Linked DNA regions of Alligator mississippiensis. The protein of the gene in region 1 binds, or shares a complex with, the protein of each later gene. Links are inferred from orthologs where the notes say so. Each region holds a gene or a part of one and is shown on either strand. Other genes may lie near its edges.

What was found.
Region 2: the proteins of BACH1 (region 1) and FBXO22 are in contact, whole or in part, in a cryo-EM structure (PDB 8S7D), measured with the Homo sapiens proteins. The link is inferred for Alligator mississippiensis from reciprocal best matches to the Homo sapiens genes BACH1 and FBXO22. Residues at the interface, in NP_001177.1 of Homo sapiens: Ser7, Val8, Phe9, Ala10, Tyr11, Glu12, Ser13, Ser14, Val15; in NP_671717.1 of Homo sapiens: Asp366, Gly371, Asn372, Phe373, Ile374, Leu375, Arg376, Lys377, Cys378.

What each region holds. Positions count from the first base shown.
Region 1 is NC_081824.1:289,798,005-289,805,076, reverse strand, and holds the start of BACH1 (transcription regulator protein BACH1), read right to left. Parts: upstream 3,154-7,072; 5' UTR 3,020-3,153; exon of another isoform or gene 2,975-3,019; intron 1-2,974. UniProt on the Homo sapiens protein: Transcriptional regulator that acts as a repressor or activator, depending on the context. Binds to NF-E2 DNA binding sites. Plays important roles in coordinating transcription activation and repression by MAFK.
Region 2 is NC_081834.1:30,396,992-30,405,256, forward strand, and holds the start of FBXO22 (F-box only protein 22), read right to left. Parts: upstream 3,220-8,265; 5' UTR 3,120-3,219; coding exon 3,016-3,119; intron 1,290-3,015; coding exon 1,157-1,289; intron 1-1,156. Other genes in the region: UBE2Q2 (ubiquitin-conjugating enzyme E2 Q2), read right to left, coding at 6,258-6,289, 8,057-8,123. UniProt on the Homo sapiens protein: Substrate-recognition component of the SCF (SKP1-CUL1-F-box protein)-type E3 ubiquitin ligase complex that is implicated in the control of various cellular processes such as cell cycle control, transcriptional regulation, DNA damage repair, and apoptosis.

The DNA.
Region 1 (7,072 bases):
CAGAGTTACTCACACTTGCCAAAGGATGCAAGGTCTAGAAATTAAAGTATGTTCCAAGATAGCATTACCACTAAACAAGGCAAGCCCACAGAGACATAAAAAGTGATCTGAGATACCTTTAGCTGGCTTAAATCCACTAACCAAGGTCAATTTTTGGTGGGGGGACAAAAATCTGAAATATGATTTTAAAGTTAAAGAATAAATAGTATAGTATTACTTCACTCTTGGACAAGTACCATCTATCATAACTGCAGTTCCTGCACACCACTGCACTTAAGAACTTAAGAATTGACATTCACTGGATCAGACCATAAGTCCATCCTGCTAAGGATCCCGTCACAAATAAATCCCACTATACCCCCCTGGCACATTCATTTTAAACCTTTGACCTCCACTCCCATCCCTGTTTTGTTATAATTTATCCCAAGCAATCAGCTGCCACTTTCCCTGTTGCCTCCCTCTCTGAGGGGGCCTTAGTTTCACGTGGTAGGCATTCCTCCCACAAACCCCTGAAGTGGCAGATAGGCCTGTGTCACACATTCAGCGTGCTCTGCTCCGTATCCCACCTTGTTGCACTCATTTGAAACTTTGGACCTCACTCCTGTCTACCTAGTGGCCCTCCTTTTTAAGGGAGGCTTATAATGTTTCCTGGTGGTCACTGGCCTGCATTCTTTAGGCAAAAAATAGGCCTGTCGCACATCCAGTGTGCTCTGCCCCGTGTCCCCCCTCAGTGCACTAGTCTTGAACCTTTGACCTCCAGCCCCATCCCTGTTTTGTTATCATTTGTCCCAAGAAATCAGCGACATGCTCCTAGTGGCAGGGGGGCTTATAGTTTCATTTGGTGGCCCAAGGTCCATGATTCCCCAGTGGCATGTCAAAAGGCCTGTCTCTCACATCTGGCGTGCTCTCCTCAGTGCCCTCCCTTGTGCACTCAGTTTGAACCTGCTCCTGTCCTTGTTATGTTTTCAGTTGTTCCCACGGAATGAGTTGCTGCTTTCAAAGTGGCCTCCCTTTATAAGGGAGGCTTTTAGTTTCTCGTAGTGGGCACTGGCCCACAATTCCTTTAAGGCAACAAGTAGGCCTGTGTCATACATCCAGGGTGGTCTCCTTGGTGTCCCCCCTCAGTTCACTCATTTTGAACTTATGACCCTCATTCCCATCCCTGTTTTGGCTTTCAGTTATCCCAAATAATCAACGATATGCCCATAGTGGCCCCCATCACCAAAGGGGGTGGGGGTCAAATCCCTACTGCAATATAGCTCTAGTTGGTGGGCTTTGGCCCGTGTCACATTATGGCATATCAAAAGGCCATGTCACATGGGCAGAGAGCAGAGGCTGGAAGGGAGAGAGAACAGATTATGACCAGGGCTTTTCCTCCAACTGTTCCTCTCTCACTTGCAGCCTCCAGCATTCAGGGTCTAGAAAAAGTTTTGGTTCAGAGGCTGTGCTCCTCACTTCCATACTCAATCGCCACTGAGGCCCCTTTCAACCAAGAATTTTACAGAATTGTAGAAAAATGAGGGCTGGAAGGGACCTCGGGAGTTCAAACCCCTGTTCAGTGCAGGACCGTCCCTAAATCTTTTATCTCAATCCAGTCTTTGTCTAGCCAGGTCTTAAAAGCCTCCAAGGAGGGAGAGTCTACCACCTCTCTCATAACCTATTCCAGTGTTTTCCTACCCTCCTGGGGAGAAAGTTTTTCCTCCTATCTAACCACAACATCCCATGCTGCAATCCCATTTTGAATCTGGCTACAGCGTCAGCTCCTGATGGTGAGGAGCCCCAAGCTCAAATGAAGCTCAAATGAAGGAGGCGAGGAGTTTACACTTGAACGATGCATTGTGTGGAGAACTTTCTTCCACTAGTTTAAAAAAAAAAAAAAAAAAAAAAAATGGACCAACCCGCTTCTCCCAGGACTCCACACACCCCAACGCCTTCTGCATCCCCAACCCTCAACTGGATTTCAGAATCAAGTTGCAGCAGGGGAAGTTGAAACTAGATCTTAGGAAAAACTTCCTCTGGAGGAGAGTAGTAAAGCACTGGAACAGAGAGGTGGTACACTCTCCATCCTTAGAGGTTTTGAAGGCCTAGCTCAACAAAGCCTGGGCTGGGGTGATCTAGTTGGGGAAGGTCCTGCTGTGAGCAGGGGGTTGCACTAGGTCAGCAGTTCTCAACCTATTTTATATCAGGACCCATTTGTAGTCATCAATGGTCAGTCCCAACTTTAAGTAGAAAACAGCCCCGGATCCTGCTGGTACCGCTCACTCCTGACCTCTTGCCCCTCAACCCAAGCCCCAACCCCCCAGCATGTGGAGGGATGTGTGGGGCATCAGGGGCTCCAAGCAGCCAGCCTGCAAGGGAAAAGCCACAGTTTCCCATGTTTTTCTCCATTACAGGAGAATCTATTTTTAAAGTTTATTCATGATCCTTTCACATATTCTTGCCACCCACTTTTGGGTGGTGACCACAAGATAAGAGCTGCTGCACTAGGGGACCTCCTGGGGTCCCTTCCAGCACTCATTTTCTAGGATTGTTTCCCAAAGACTCCTTCAATGCCTGGGTCCAAAACAAAGCCAAGGGGCAAGCCTGTGGGTAAGCAGCCCCACTCCCTCCCCCTGCCCCTAGCAAATTCCCAGCTGCACCCAGATGCTCCAATGCCCATGCCAAGGTGAAGCCGCTTCACACCCTGACCCCAAAGCGCACCTCCACCCCCTCGTGGCTCCTGCAGCCTAGAAACACCCCCCCCTACGGGCAGCGCCTTTATGTGTGTCTCCCACACAGGCGCCCCCAGGCGGGGACCTGGGTCAGGCTAAAGCTTCAGAGCTGGGGGGGCATCACGTGACACCATCCCCCCTGCGGGACCCCGAATGGTACTGGCCAGGCGGCGTCCACCCACGAGCCCCCGAATACTGAAGGCGAGGCGGTGCGCGCCTCTCCCACCGGGCAGTGCGCGTCGCTAGGGCCCGGCCGCGCTCACCTCGTTGCCGGCAGCCGCCGCTGTTCCCCGCGAGCCACCACAAACCTGAGTTGCTGCTCCTCCTCTTCCAGCAACAGCCCCAAACTGATCGTCCGCACAGTCCAGGCTGTGGCCCGACTGCGGAGAGAGCGGTCAGATGACTCCCCGCAACAGGACCAACCAGCCCGCCCCCAAACAGCGCAGCCACCATTTACCCCGCCCCCGCCGCCCGCTGATTGGGCGTTGCTATCTTGAGTGACATTCTGAGGCCTAAAGCCCGCCGCCGCCGCGCATGCGCATTCCGACCAACACCGGGGGGCGGGGGACGGACCCCGCTCTCCGCCCCCCTCCCACCAGCCTGAGAGGGGCGGGGCCTAGTCTCACTGGAGGAGCTCCTAGCATACATAGCCTGACTTGTAGTGTTCGTGCTGGGTAGCTGCCCTGCTACCCTTCGCCTGCTCGCAGCCGCTCTCCGCTGGGGCTGGCATAAAACGTCTTTGCCATGGGACGCCGAGGCCGTGTTGCCAGAGTTATGATAATGATCATATCTGCCCAATCATTTCAACCCAGGTATGATGTTTGATCAGTGTTCAAAGCTGACGATAATTTGGAGGCAGCTAATTGATGCAGCATATGCAAAACCCACCTCACTCTCAGTGAAGCTTTAGCTGATTTTTGGATACTTTTTTGGGGGGGAACTGTTTTGTATTTCAGGTCAAATAAGCAGAATCGGTTCCGAATCCTCTTGACTGAGCAACACTCAAATCGTTCAAGCATCATACACCGTACAACCAGCAAGCATCAGATATTCCCAAATCCATTGGTGGGCATCCCACATGCAGGCAAAGGCCTGGAGGCTTGGGGTTCGGATGCCCCCGCATAGCACTTGCCCTTAACCAAAGGCCACAGGAGCAAGCTAGGGAGGAGTTGTTCATTTCCATAAAGTTGGTGTGTAGCCGAGATCCTCCCATGGGAAGCTAATTACAAGCCTCATTGGGTGTCCTGTTCACTGGACAGGGTGCACCCTCCCCTATGCAGTGCCATTTTCAGATGTGCTATCAGCATTTTCTTATGACTGCTTACCTCAAAATAAAGAAAAGCTTCAACTTTGATGACCCAGTTCTCACTCACTCACTTGCGAGTTACACGGAGCAATACAAAGTAAATAAAACTTATTTGCATGCTTATTTTCATACTTGTTCAATGTACAATCGTTTTTCAGAAAATATGATAATTTTGAGCTTCCAATATTATAATTTAATATTTAATACCTGGCTATGCTGGCTTGAAGAAGCAGGAATACTGCTGTGGATGCAGCCCTACCCACTGCCACTTGAGTGGCTGTATTAGAGTCCTAGAGTTAGGGGGGGTGTTATTTACTTACTGAGGTATCTTGAGTTAACAAGTGGAATGAACAGCAGCCCTAAAAGGTCATCCATCTGCTCTAACATTTTTTTTTTAAAGAATAAAAACAGTTTATACAGCTGCTGAGAATCTTTAGTTTTTTGACTACAACCTGCCTGCACCAACCCTACAAATGCAGTGCATGACGTAGCATCTTGGTTCCTGAACCCAAGTGAAAAGTGGTGGTTGTTAAGAAGAGTAACAGTGCAAAGAAACATAATAGTACATCTCCATCATTAGGGAGATGTACTAATGTACATAATGTACTAATTATGAAACATAATGTACTAGTTATGCCTTATTTTGAATTACAGGATTCCCATCATGGCCTGTGAATGCAGAATTATAGCCGAATTCTTGCTTCTTTCTGTCCAGCCTTCCTTTTTTTTCTGTTGCTTGTAACTTTCTCATACTGCTTTCACACACGAGAATGTCTGTTCCTGGTCTCAGGCCTACTCTGAGTTATTTGAGGAAGATGTGTCCATCGTGTTGAGTTAACGTTAGCTGTGGGTGAAGAGGTGGGGGGAGTCCCCTCTATTTTCAGGGTAAAATGATTGTACCTGGAATAACTGAAAGAAACAGCTTAAAGTAGAGACTTGAAACTAAGCATTATTGAAGAAGAAAAAAAGTACTGACGTTTGAAGGAACATTGTTCACTATTTGTATAATTATGATTTTTATAAGGAAATGTTCTAAAGATTTTTTTATGAAGATACAGTGTTAGCTGAATTTCTACTCCTAAAAGTCACAGGCCTTTTACTTTCCAGTCAGGACTCCTAAGGCTAAGTTTTAAGGGGATCCTCTGCCATAGTGGGATTAGTAATTGGTTCATTCTACCTGCATGCAGTGCGGTGGGTATCATTTATACACCAAGCTACCCATTTTTTTTTCAATTGCAAATGACAAAGGGCCTCAATTCATGTCTACTTATCAGTTATCATATCAGCTTCACTGAAATCTGATGAATTCACCTGGATTTTCCTAATGCTTATCTAGTCTCTTGCCTTAAACTATTTGGTTGTAATCTTAGCATTCTTTAACAGAGAAGATAATTATTCAGACATTATTTCTTGTTATTTGAGGAAGATTTAGGCTGTCTATTTTTGTAAGGTCACCTCATAACTTTCCCCCATGTCTTTATTTAGGCCCCACCAGTTCTGCCCAGAGTGGCACAAGGAAGCACAGATAAGGCACAGTTGCAACCACAGGGCATGTTTGGTTTGGCATTTCTGCATAGTTCACTACGTGATCTCTACTTTGTCTGGGAAGTTTCACCCCTGATTTTTCTGTTGTACACATGGATGGAAAAAGCTTCAAAAACAGGTTTGATTATTGTACAACCCAAGGCTTCCTTCAAAGCTACTGATTTACAAGTGAAAGGGGGACAGTGTCTCAGGTGGAGTATGTTTTTCTCTATTGTTATCATACCAGGCACATCAATTTTATCCATGTTCCCAAATACTGCTCCTTTCATTTTGCTATTATAACACAACTAGTATTCTTAAAAGAGCTTAAATGTTTTGTGTTCTGTAAAATGAGTTCGTATTGCTGAATAAGAGTCACTTATTGTAACTAAGAATATTACGGCATAGACTGAAGTAGATGAAACTTGTTTGCTTAGGTTAGCTTTGCAAAAGTGAGATTGGGTTGCACAACAATTTTCTCCTCAAAGAGCCTATGGTATAAAGGAGCATACAGATATAAGCTGCTCATGTCCTACTCCAAGAATTGGGGGATATATTTCTCTCATTCAAAAATGTGCTGCAGAATAAGGATAAGGACAGTTTCAAGTATGTGACTGGATGGGGGAATCAGGATTCAGAGGTATTTATTGACTTAAATGAAAGCAAATTCAGTCCTTTAATTTGATAGCTGTGGAATTTTATCTATATAATTACTGTCTTTATTTCTTATAGTTTGCTTTTTATTTTTTCTATTAAGACTTCATTTTCATCAGGAATGATGATTTTTTTTAAAGCCACCAAAAAGAAAAGATTGTCATATGGGTCAGCCACAGGTTGTAGAACCAGGAGTTCTTGAGTCCCATCCTAGCATTACCACCGATGGGATACCTCTGCCAACACCTTTGTCCTTGGTGTTTTTCTAGAGAAGTCTTTGTGACCTTGCTAAATATTTTCACTGAGCTGCAATTTCCTCCATCTGTTAAGGAACTCCATCTGTTAAAATGCTTTATTCATAGATGGTAGTATTATAAAACTCCTCCATTTTAATTAGGTAGATTTTTATCAGTGGCTATAGTTACCAAAGATAATGATATTTTTACATAAGCATATTTAAAATGCACTTAAATCTAACCAGAATCAGATGTCATGAATGATATTTTACTAAATGCATGGGAAGATTATGTTTACCAAACTTCTGGACCTTTAATTTTGACAAGGAAGGGTGACAGAGAGTGTTTTAATACACATTATAATACTAGTTGTTTTAGTTGGCTGATGGATTTCAGAGGCATTATCCAAGTTTCACTACAAAATAACATGGGTCATTTTGGATAAGTAGACTTAAGGATAGCTATTTCCTTATATTAATCTCATGACAGCAGAATATTATCTCTTTCTTTTAGTCAAAAGTTGATACATTTAGAGCAACATTTTGTTATTCTGAATCTTAGTTCATACAGTATACCCTCCTATCTGTTATGACCAGTAGTTTTCATTCTCCCACTGATGTTGATAACTGTTCGCTGTCAAG
Region 2 (8,265 bases), on another chromosome or scaffold:
TTTAAAGTTGTGTCTATGTCCCAATCATCAAAGCTCGCCGAATCAATTCAGAGTTCCGATTTGATTCGGAGAGATTAAAGGGTCTTCTGATTCGATTCAGAAATTCAGCTGCTGAATTGGGCCGAATCGACTCAGCAACCGAAACTGTGCACAGCTCTAATGTCTGGGCATGTTGGGACTCCTCTGGACAAGTTTGTAGCTTATGGTGTTTCCCCAGTTTTCTGTGGCCAGCAGCTGAAGCAAGATAGTTTGCATCTCATGTCCCCTTTTGTTATGTCAGTGTTCAGAACACTTTCTATGCATTACATTTTGCATGAAAATCAGGAAAAGGGTAAGTGAAACATTTGAATTACTTAAAATAGCATTTGGTGATGACACTATGAGCCGTGCAAGAGTTTTCGAATGGTATCATTGGTTTAAAGAAGGACAATCATCGGTCGAAAGTGACGAGCGTTCCGGATGCCCTTCAACATCATGAAATGATGAAAATGTGGCAGCGGTTCACAGTTTGGTTTGATTGACTATCTGAGAGATAGCAGAAGATGGAATTTCTGTTGGTTCATGTCATTCAATTCTAACCAGTGATTTGGGAAGGAAATGACCAGAAAAACAACCAGAGAAGTGGAGGTCCAACTGATGCTTCACCACGACAATGCACCTGACCACTCAGCACAGCTTGTGAAGCAATTTTTAGCCAAATACCATATCCTACAAGTGCCGCAACCTCCATATTCACCCGATACAGCCCCATGTGACCTTTTTCTCTTCCCTCAGCTAAAGAAAACCTTGAAAGGAAGATTTTGTGATGTGAAAACTATAAAACAAAATGCGACTGACCAGCTTTTAGTGATTCCACAAATTGCTTATCAGAGGTTTTTCCAACAATGGCAGAAACGTTGGGAGAAGCGTGTGGCTGCGGAAGGAGCATACTTCAAAGGAGATTAAGCCGAAACCCCTCTAAATTAAATCTTTTGTTTCCTACAGCATCAGTCTCAATTCTTTTTGAACAGACCTCATATATATATGTTGAAACTTAAAAAGGCTATGGAAGGACTGAGAAATACATCAGCAGAAACAGGAGTCTGCTCAAAGATCTTGCCACAGTAGCTAGAAACTCAACCACGAGTATCAGTGTAATTGTGATATTTTCTCCTACCTCAAGTTCCTCTGCTAATGTGCGGACGAGCGAATGAGTGTCAGATGGACCAGGCTCAAGGGCGGATACCCAGGCTACGCTCTGCTGCGTTCTCAGTATTCTACGAGCGCATTCTCTCCATAACCGGCACACGCTGAAATACAAGGATTCCGCGTCACAACTACAAAAGGGAACTTTGGCATGTGTCAGTCCCCCACTGTTTTCCCTTTTGATTTGGAAATGCTTATCACACGCTGTCAGAAGTTACCCACACTCCTTTAAAGAAGTACTTGGAATGACTAAATTGGAACTGGGATTATTGTGGCTTGCCACCAGGGTGGATAAAAATCAACAATTTTAAATTAAAATAAAATAAAATAAATTGATTTTTTTAAATGTAAATCAGTTTTTAAATGCTTAAAAATAATTTAGATAGTTTTAATTTAAGATATGATAAAACTCAAAGATGTAATCATGGAATAGGGATTATAACTTCTAATTATATATACAATATTTGAGACAATATATTCATGTAATCTTTTTTAAAGTTTTATAAATAGGTCACAACAGGCCATGGACTATATTAGGGGTCCAATCTTACACGGCTCCCGGAAACTCCTCTATAGATTGTAAAGATTAAAGAAAACCACTCTACCCAATGGGACTCAGTGCTCAGTCTAGGAGATCCCATTAAGCATCTCTGTGATGCTTAGTTTCAGTTCTCAAACAGTGTATTTGTGTCTCCAGAGATCATAGGCAGACAAAGTTCTTTGAGGACAGGCAAAATCTTTTATTACACCAACTAAATAGTTGGAAAAATTGCTCTTTGCAAGCTTCGGGCACAAATGCCCTTCTTCAGGCATAGGGAGAGTTTGTCATCTCCAGAGATAACATCCTTGTTAACAGCAGTACATGGAGATGAAAGATAACAGACCTGATTACCTACCCATCACCCCTATTGTCTCTCTGCAAGTTTGCATACATGCAGTCAAGCCATTACCTTTCTCTAAAAGTGCAAAGTTTCAAGAAGTTAAATGAATAGAGGATATCAAACAAAGATGCACTTTTTGTAGAAAAACAATGATTAAATTGAGGCTTCATGACCACTGATTTAAATCGATTTGATTTAAAACAAATGCACCCTGTTTGCCACTGCCTTCTATATAACTTGAATAACTTATTTGCATGGGTACAGGCCTAGTAGTTGCTTCCAGTTATAAAATGTTTTTGACAGTATCCGGTACTAAGCTGCCTCACTTAGAGACAGCCGTATGTTAAGAGACTTGTTTTTTCCTCCCGCACAAGAGCAGTACGTTGAATAATTCATTCCCAGTTCTTCTCTGCAGCACAAAATGTAGGTATCAGCAACATAAAATGCTGATATGGTACAGATGCCGAGAGCGCTGCAGAGACGGCTTGGCTTGCTCCTTGTTCTCTGGATACAAGGCGTCAGCACCCCCCGCCCGCGTTCTTAGCGGTGATCGGGATCCCAAGGAGCAGATGCAGGCCGTGCGGGTGCTGTAAGTTTCTCAGCCTCGTAAACAAGTCTCCATTGGAAACATTTAAACCTAAGAGACCTCAGCCTGGCTGGGCCTGGGAGGGGCCGCCGCAGACCTGCTCCAACCTGCGTGCAACTTGGCCACGCGACCCCGCGCCCGCCGCCAGCTCCTCCCGCCCCGAGCGCCGCCGGCGCGAGGCAGCAGCAGCGGGCGCGGCCGAACCCCGCGGAAGGACACAGCGGCCTGGCGTCGAGCGGCCCCAGCCCAGCCCCGCGGCAGGGAGCGGGCGGCGGGGCCCAGGCCCTAGCGGCGGACGGGGCCGGAGCTGGGGGAGCCCTGCGCACGGAGGGGGCGGGCGAGGGCTGCGGGGCCGGTGCCTACCAGGCCGCCCGCAGCAGCGCCTTGGTGGGCAGGAAGCTCAGGACCCGCTCCACCACCTCGGCCAGGTTGCTCAGCACGAAGGGCCCCTGCGTGTCCGTCTCCATGGCGACCGCCGCGGCCTGGAGCCTGGCCCCGCGCAGCGAGCGGCCAGGCGGGGAACAGAGCGCAGCCCGGCGGCACGCTCTGATGGCGTCATCACACGGTATCCGCGTCCGAGCCTCACCCGGAGTCACGTGGCCGGAAGCGACGATCACTGTGGGGGAAAGACTGGGGAACGATGGTTCCGCTTCTGGTTTGTGGCCACGTGATGCGTTAGCGCCGCAGTCCTTCCGCCTCCTCCCCGGGGGGCGTTTACGAGAACGTAGCTGGGGAAGGCTAGCGGGGGCCTCGAGGTTTCCAGCACATTTGGGGCATGGACCGAGTTTGGCGTTTAAAAAAGAAATGCGTTTAGATCTGCCAGGACAGTGCTGCAGGCACTGAGTTGGGGAACGCAGTTACAGCAGGCTGCGAGAGCACGAAGAGCGGCACCAGGCTGCAGGAGAGACTGGCCCCGCCGCCCCATCGGCCGTGCAGCTTCAGAAGGAAGCTCCGCAGTAAAAGCTGTTTTTTAAAAATGTTTTCCATCAGACATGAAGGCCTTTTGTTGGCCTAGTTATGCCACCAGCCGGTCATTCCAGGCAAATGGCTAAGAAAATAGCTCCGCTTAAAACTAATCTCTTAGTCTTGGTGCCACAGGACATCCTGTTGTAATTTTGCAAGATCCCAAGCTAAGAGCAAGCCGGACCAAACCGTCAAGGAAACAACTGTTACACAAGTGCCACTGGCAATTGAGAAGGCAGTGCTGTTACCTTTGGATTAGTATTAAAACCAGCATTGTGCTGCATAGAGAGGATATCATTTGAATGATATGTAAACCTAAGTAGTCATCATTTTGCCAACGAATGGGCACTTTCATGTGCAAGGCAAGGTATTGGTGACAGTAAATGCTGTCAATCTCTAACTCAGTTGTATGCTTTCAAGTTTACTAACAGCTCTAACAGCATCTTAAAATGGTTCCACCCTAGCCAGCCGTTTTAGTACTTCTGGTATCAGCAGTGGAAGATCCGATCCTAGGATAATTTGTACTATTCAGGGTTTCATGATCCTTCATTTAGGGCAAGGGATGTCAACCAGGGATACGTGTATATACTTGGGAAGGCCCTGGGGGGGTATGCAAGGCAGCAGCACACTTCTCAAGTACCCCCGCTTCTTTGCAGCACCAGAGTGTACCTGGGAAGCACACCAAAAGTACTTGAAAAGCATGCTGTGTGCTGACCAGTCACTGGAGGAGCCACCCCCAACTCTTTAGGGGGGTACACTCCTTAAAAAAAGGTTGAAAACCCCCTGATTTAGGGGATAATGAAAGAGCTGCCTGATAGCAAGACTTCACTGTAAAGCAAAGTACCAGCAACCTGTTAAACTCCCTCCTACACTGATAACACAAGGTACTCATGAACAGAATGCTGCCTGCATCCAGAGACAGTAACCACAAAAAGAATAATTCTTAAAATGGTTCTTTATTCATAAACTTGATGCAAGTTTACAAATTACTGTACATTGCCAAATAATTCTGCAATGAAAAATGAAATCCAAAACAAAGCATGCCAAATGTGCATCTGTCAACCTGCTAGCCCATTAGAATATTAAAGAATTCAATAATGTATTCAAAGATTTTAGCCTCAGGTTTTAAGGAACTTTAATGCTTAAAGAGTTCTGCCTTTCACTTAAGTTTGCTATTTGAGCAATTGGCTACCAGGATTTAATACAAATATACATACAACCAAGGAAGCAGAAAGGCTGGGAAGTCATTCACTATACTTCCTAGAAAACTATTTGAAATAATATATAAAATCAGGAGTAGTGCCAAATCTCTTCAGTCTGTTCTTTCAAGCTAAAAACTGGATCTAGAAGCAAATGCACAAGGACCCAGGGGTGCCTGATAGAGAAAAGAAGAAGAGCACAAATTTGATAGTCATAACTAAAAAAAAAAACAACACACATGCTTCTGGGCTTCTAAAAAGTGCTTAATCCATGGTACACACCCTTATTTCAACCCCTGGGGGTAAAGGTCTAATCCCTAATGCTACAACCAAAATAGAATTGATTTAGATAAGGCAATGAAACATAGTAATTACACAGACCCAGATTCGTTTCCTAAGAAAGAATAGTTCCCGTTAGTCTTTCAATATCAAAACCACTGTCATGACTATGGCAACACTTTTAAAATCTCTGAATCGGGTGATGTCTTTCTGTACTTTATTTAGCTTTTTCTATAAAATTTTTGCTCAAGGATTTTCATCTTGATTTGTGCCAATCACTTAAGTTCATTAGTTTACAAATGATTGCAACAACCCGTTAATAAAAAAAAATGGAACACCTAAAAAGGTTTTTAGTATCTTAAATAACTTCAAGCTTCATACTGTGGCCGTTGTTAAGAGATTGAGCCAACAAGTAGCAGGAACAGCCCAGCAAGATTCTGATGCCCCAGTGGAAGTGACTAGTTACAAGATTTTATTGGCACAGCCTTGCTCTGCTTATAAAATACAACAATCTAATTAAGAGTATCTCTTCCAAGAAACAGTTCATATCCTCAACACAGCCATGAAAAAAAAGTTTAATGACTTAGCATACATGTTGTTTTCCTATATCATTAATTTGGCAATACTACAAATGTTGTCATTTTAGACCAGAAAAACTACTGTGATTTACAAGACCTGAAATTTCCTAGAACAGTATTAAACAATGTATTAAACTTTGTTGGCTTTAAATGAAATAATACAATGCAAATCTCTGCAGTCCACGTTCTGCAAAAAGGTAAGAAGTACACAAAAAAGTGTTGTGAGCAACTTCTATTGAGTGATCTTTAGTAACTTGATAGCCTGCTTTAAAGAGTTTACACTTTTAAATTAAAAAAAAAAAGTGGGAAAAGGGAGGGAATGACCCAAGTATACTTAATCCAGAGGGACAAATACAGTACAGGCCAAAACTGCTCAGTCCAAGATACCTAAGAAGAGCGGAATGGTAAGGCTGTAATTTATACTGAATGTGTCAGTTGACAGATTATCCACTAATTTATCTAATAGCTAAAGTCTTCAGTACGGCTGTTGTAGGGGCACTTGTAGCTTGAGTCTGTGTGTGTTGGAGAGAAATAAAAAAGAGCTCTGTTTGTTGATGTTGGTCCAGGTGTAAAACAGTCCTCAGTATTAACCATCTTCTTTTGGAGGAGTGTACCAGCCTGTAGAAGAAACAGGTTAGGTGCAAATGTTAGAACAACTGCAAAGCCCATACTAAGTAAGCAAGAAGGTAACTTTTTGCTCTATCTTGATTTGTGCAAGATGGAAGCTTAAAATTTGATTATAAAAATAGGAATAATTTAACAAAAGGGCACCGGCTGCCCTAAACATCACCCGGCAGAAGGAAAGCTAGTATTTATATCTGAAAATAAAGCATTAACATTTGAGGCTCCTCTTGGCATGCTGAACTGAACAAGGATCACCATCTAGTTTTCATACATCTCAAAACCTTAAAAGGACCTTATTTTTCAATCCAACAAGCCATGTATCTAGCACCTGCAGTTTAACTACATAGGCATGTGCTTATATAAATCTTATTTTGCCTGCTAAAGTTGGACATATGCCAGTTTTGAGATCTATACCAGTGATTCTCAACCAGGGTGCTGCTGCACCTGGGTTTGCCATGAGATCCTTTTAAGGCTGCCAGGCAATTGTAGCAGTGCAAACTCCTTCATAGTAGACTTTCAATACGACTGATAAACCGCTTGTCTGGAATGGTTTAGGTACACTGAATCCTGCATCTGTGCAAGGGGTTGAACTAGATCAGGGGCGTGTAATTTCCAGTTCAAAGGCCAGATCCGGCCCACAAAGCCCCCCACAGATCCAAAAGCTTGGTGTGTAGGGGAAGTGGTGGTAGCATTAAATTGCTGCTCCTTGCTGCCAAATTTCCAGATCTCTGAGGGGCCCTGCAAAGGGCAGAGGCAGCATGGAGCTGATGCAGGCTGTGCAGAGGCAGCATAGAGCCTGATCTATGTATGCAGGGCTGGGTTCCAGTCTGGGTGCCCAAGGCTGGGTAGAGGCAGCACAGCTTGAGTGCAACCACTTATATGGCCTGGGGGCCAAAAGGTTGGACTAGACGACACTTGTGAGGTCTTTTTCAATTGAAGGATCATGATAAGATTTCTTAGACCCAATACTTGCTTCAAGTAGTTCACTCTACTAGACAAGCATTAACATTAAGTGTTGGGAGGCAGCCACATCCACATGGCCTCACAGGAACTGGTACTCAAGACTGGGAAAAAAAAAATAAATCTAGAGACTTGTTTCTGGCCTTACTGCCATCTTGTCACTTGACAGTCATTTAACCCCTCAGGGTCTCAAACTATTTGCACCCCTTTGCAATTGGGAAGGTGGATGTAATTCTACCAGTCCCATTTCTAATGCACTTTGAGAAAGTGCCAGTTCTGAGAGGACAAACTGGTGGTAACTAGCTTTGTATGGGATGTGTGCCACTACTTTCCAGAGCAGAACTGAATAGTTCAGCCAAGCTAACATCCCCTGGACATGCTGCATTTAACTTGCAGTCCTGTAAACTTGATCCTTTCATTAACTGTTGTCTGCTTGTGCTATAATTTGATTAGCTTCTTGGGGAAGGAAAAGGAGACTTGATGCGACACAAAAGATGCCATAAGAACAACTTTGCACATTGAAGTGAAAATACAGTACAACACACGCCAGAAGCATGGAATAATTTTACTTGATATAGCATAAGTTTATAGTGAACAGTAGATTGTTTAGTTGCAAGTACTGCTATCCTTCTCAACTAAGATGACAAAAGAAACAGCAGGAAAGTATTTAAGCAGCAAAATGCTCCAATATTTTAAAAAAGTTTTATTCAATACCAAAGAGCAAACACAACAGATGTAAAAAACATTTTCTATGCTGCTGTACAATTTGTACAAACAAGCAGAGCTGCAAAATTTACATACCATTTTTCTCATGTATTTGTACTAGAGACTTATAGGACTGTTGTGCTCTTGCTAGGTTATACTGGTTCTGAAAGAAAACATTTAAAAATACTACTATAAAGAAATGACATCACAACATACAAGATCAAAAATACATGCAGATACTTAAAGAGCTGTTTTATAATACTATGCTTATGTTTCCTATTCATCATTCCCAGTTTTTCACTGCC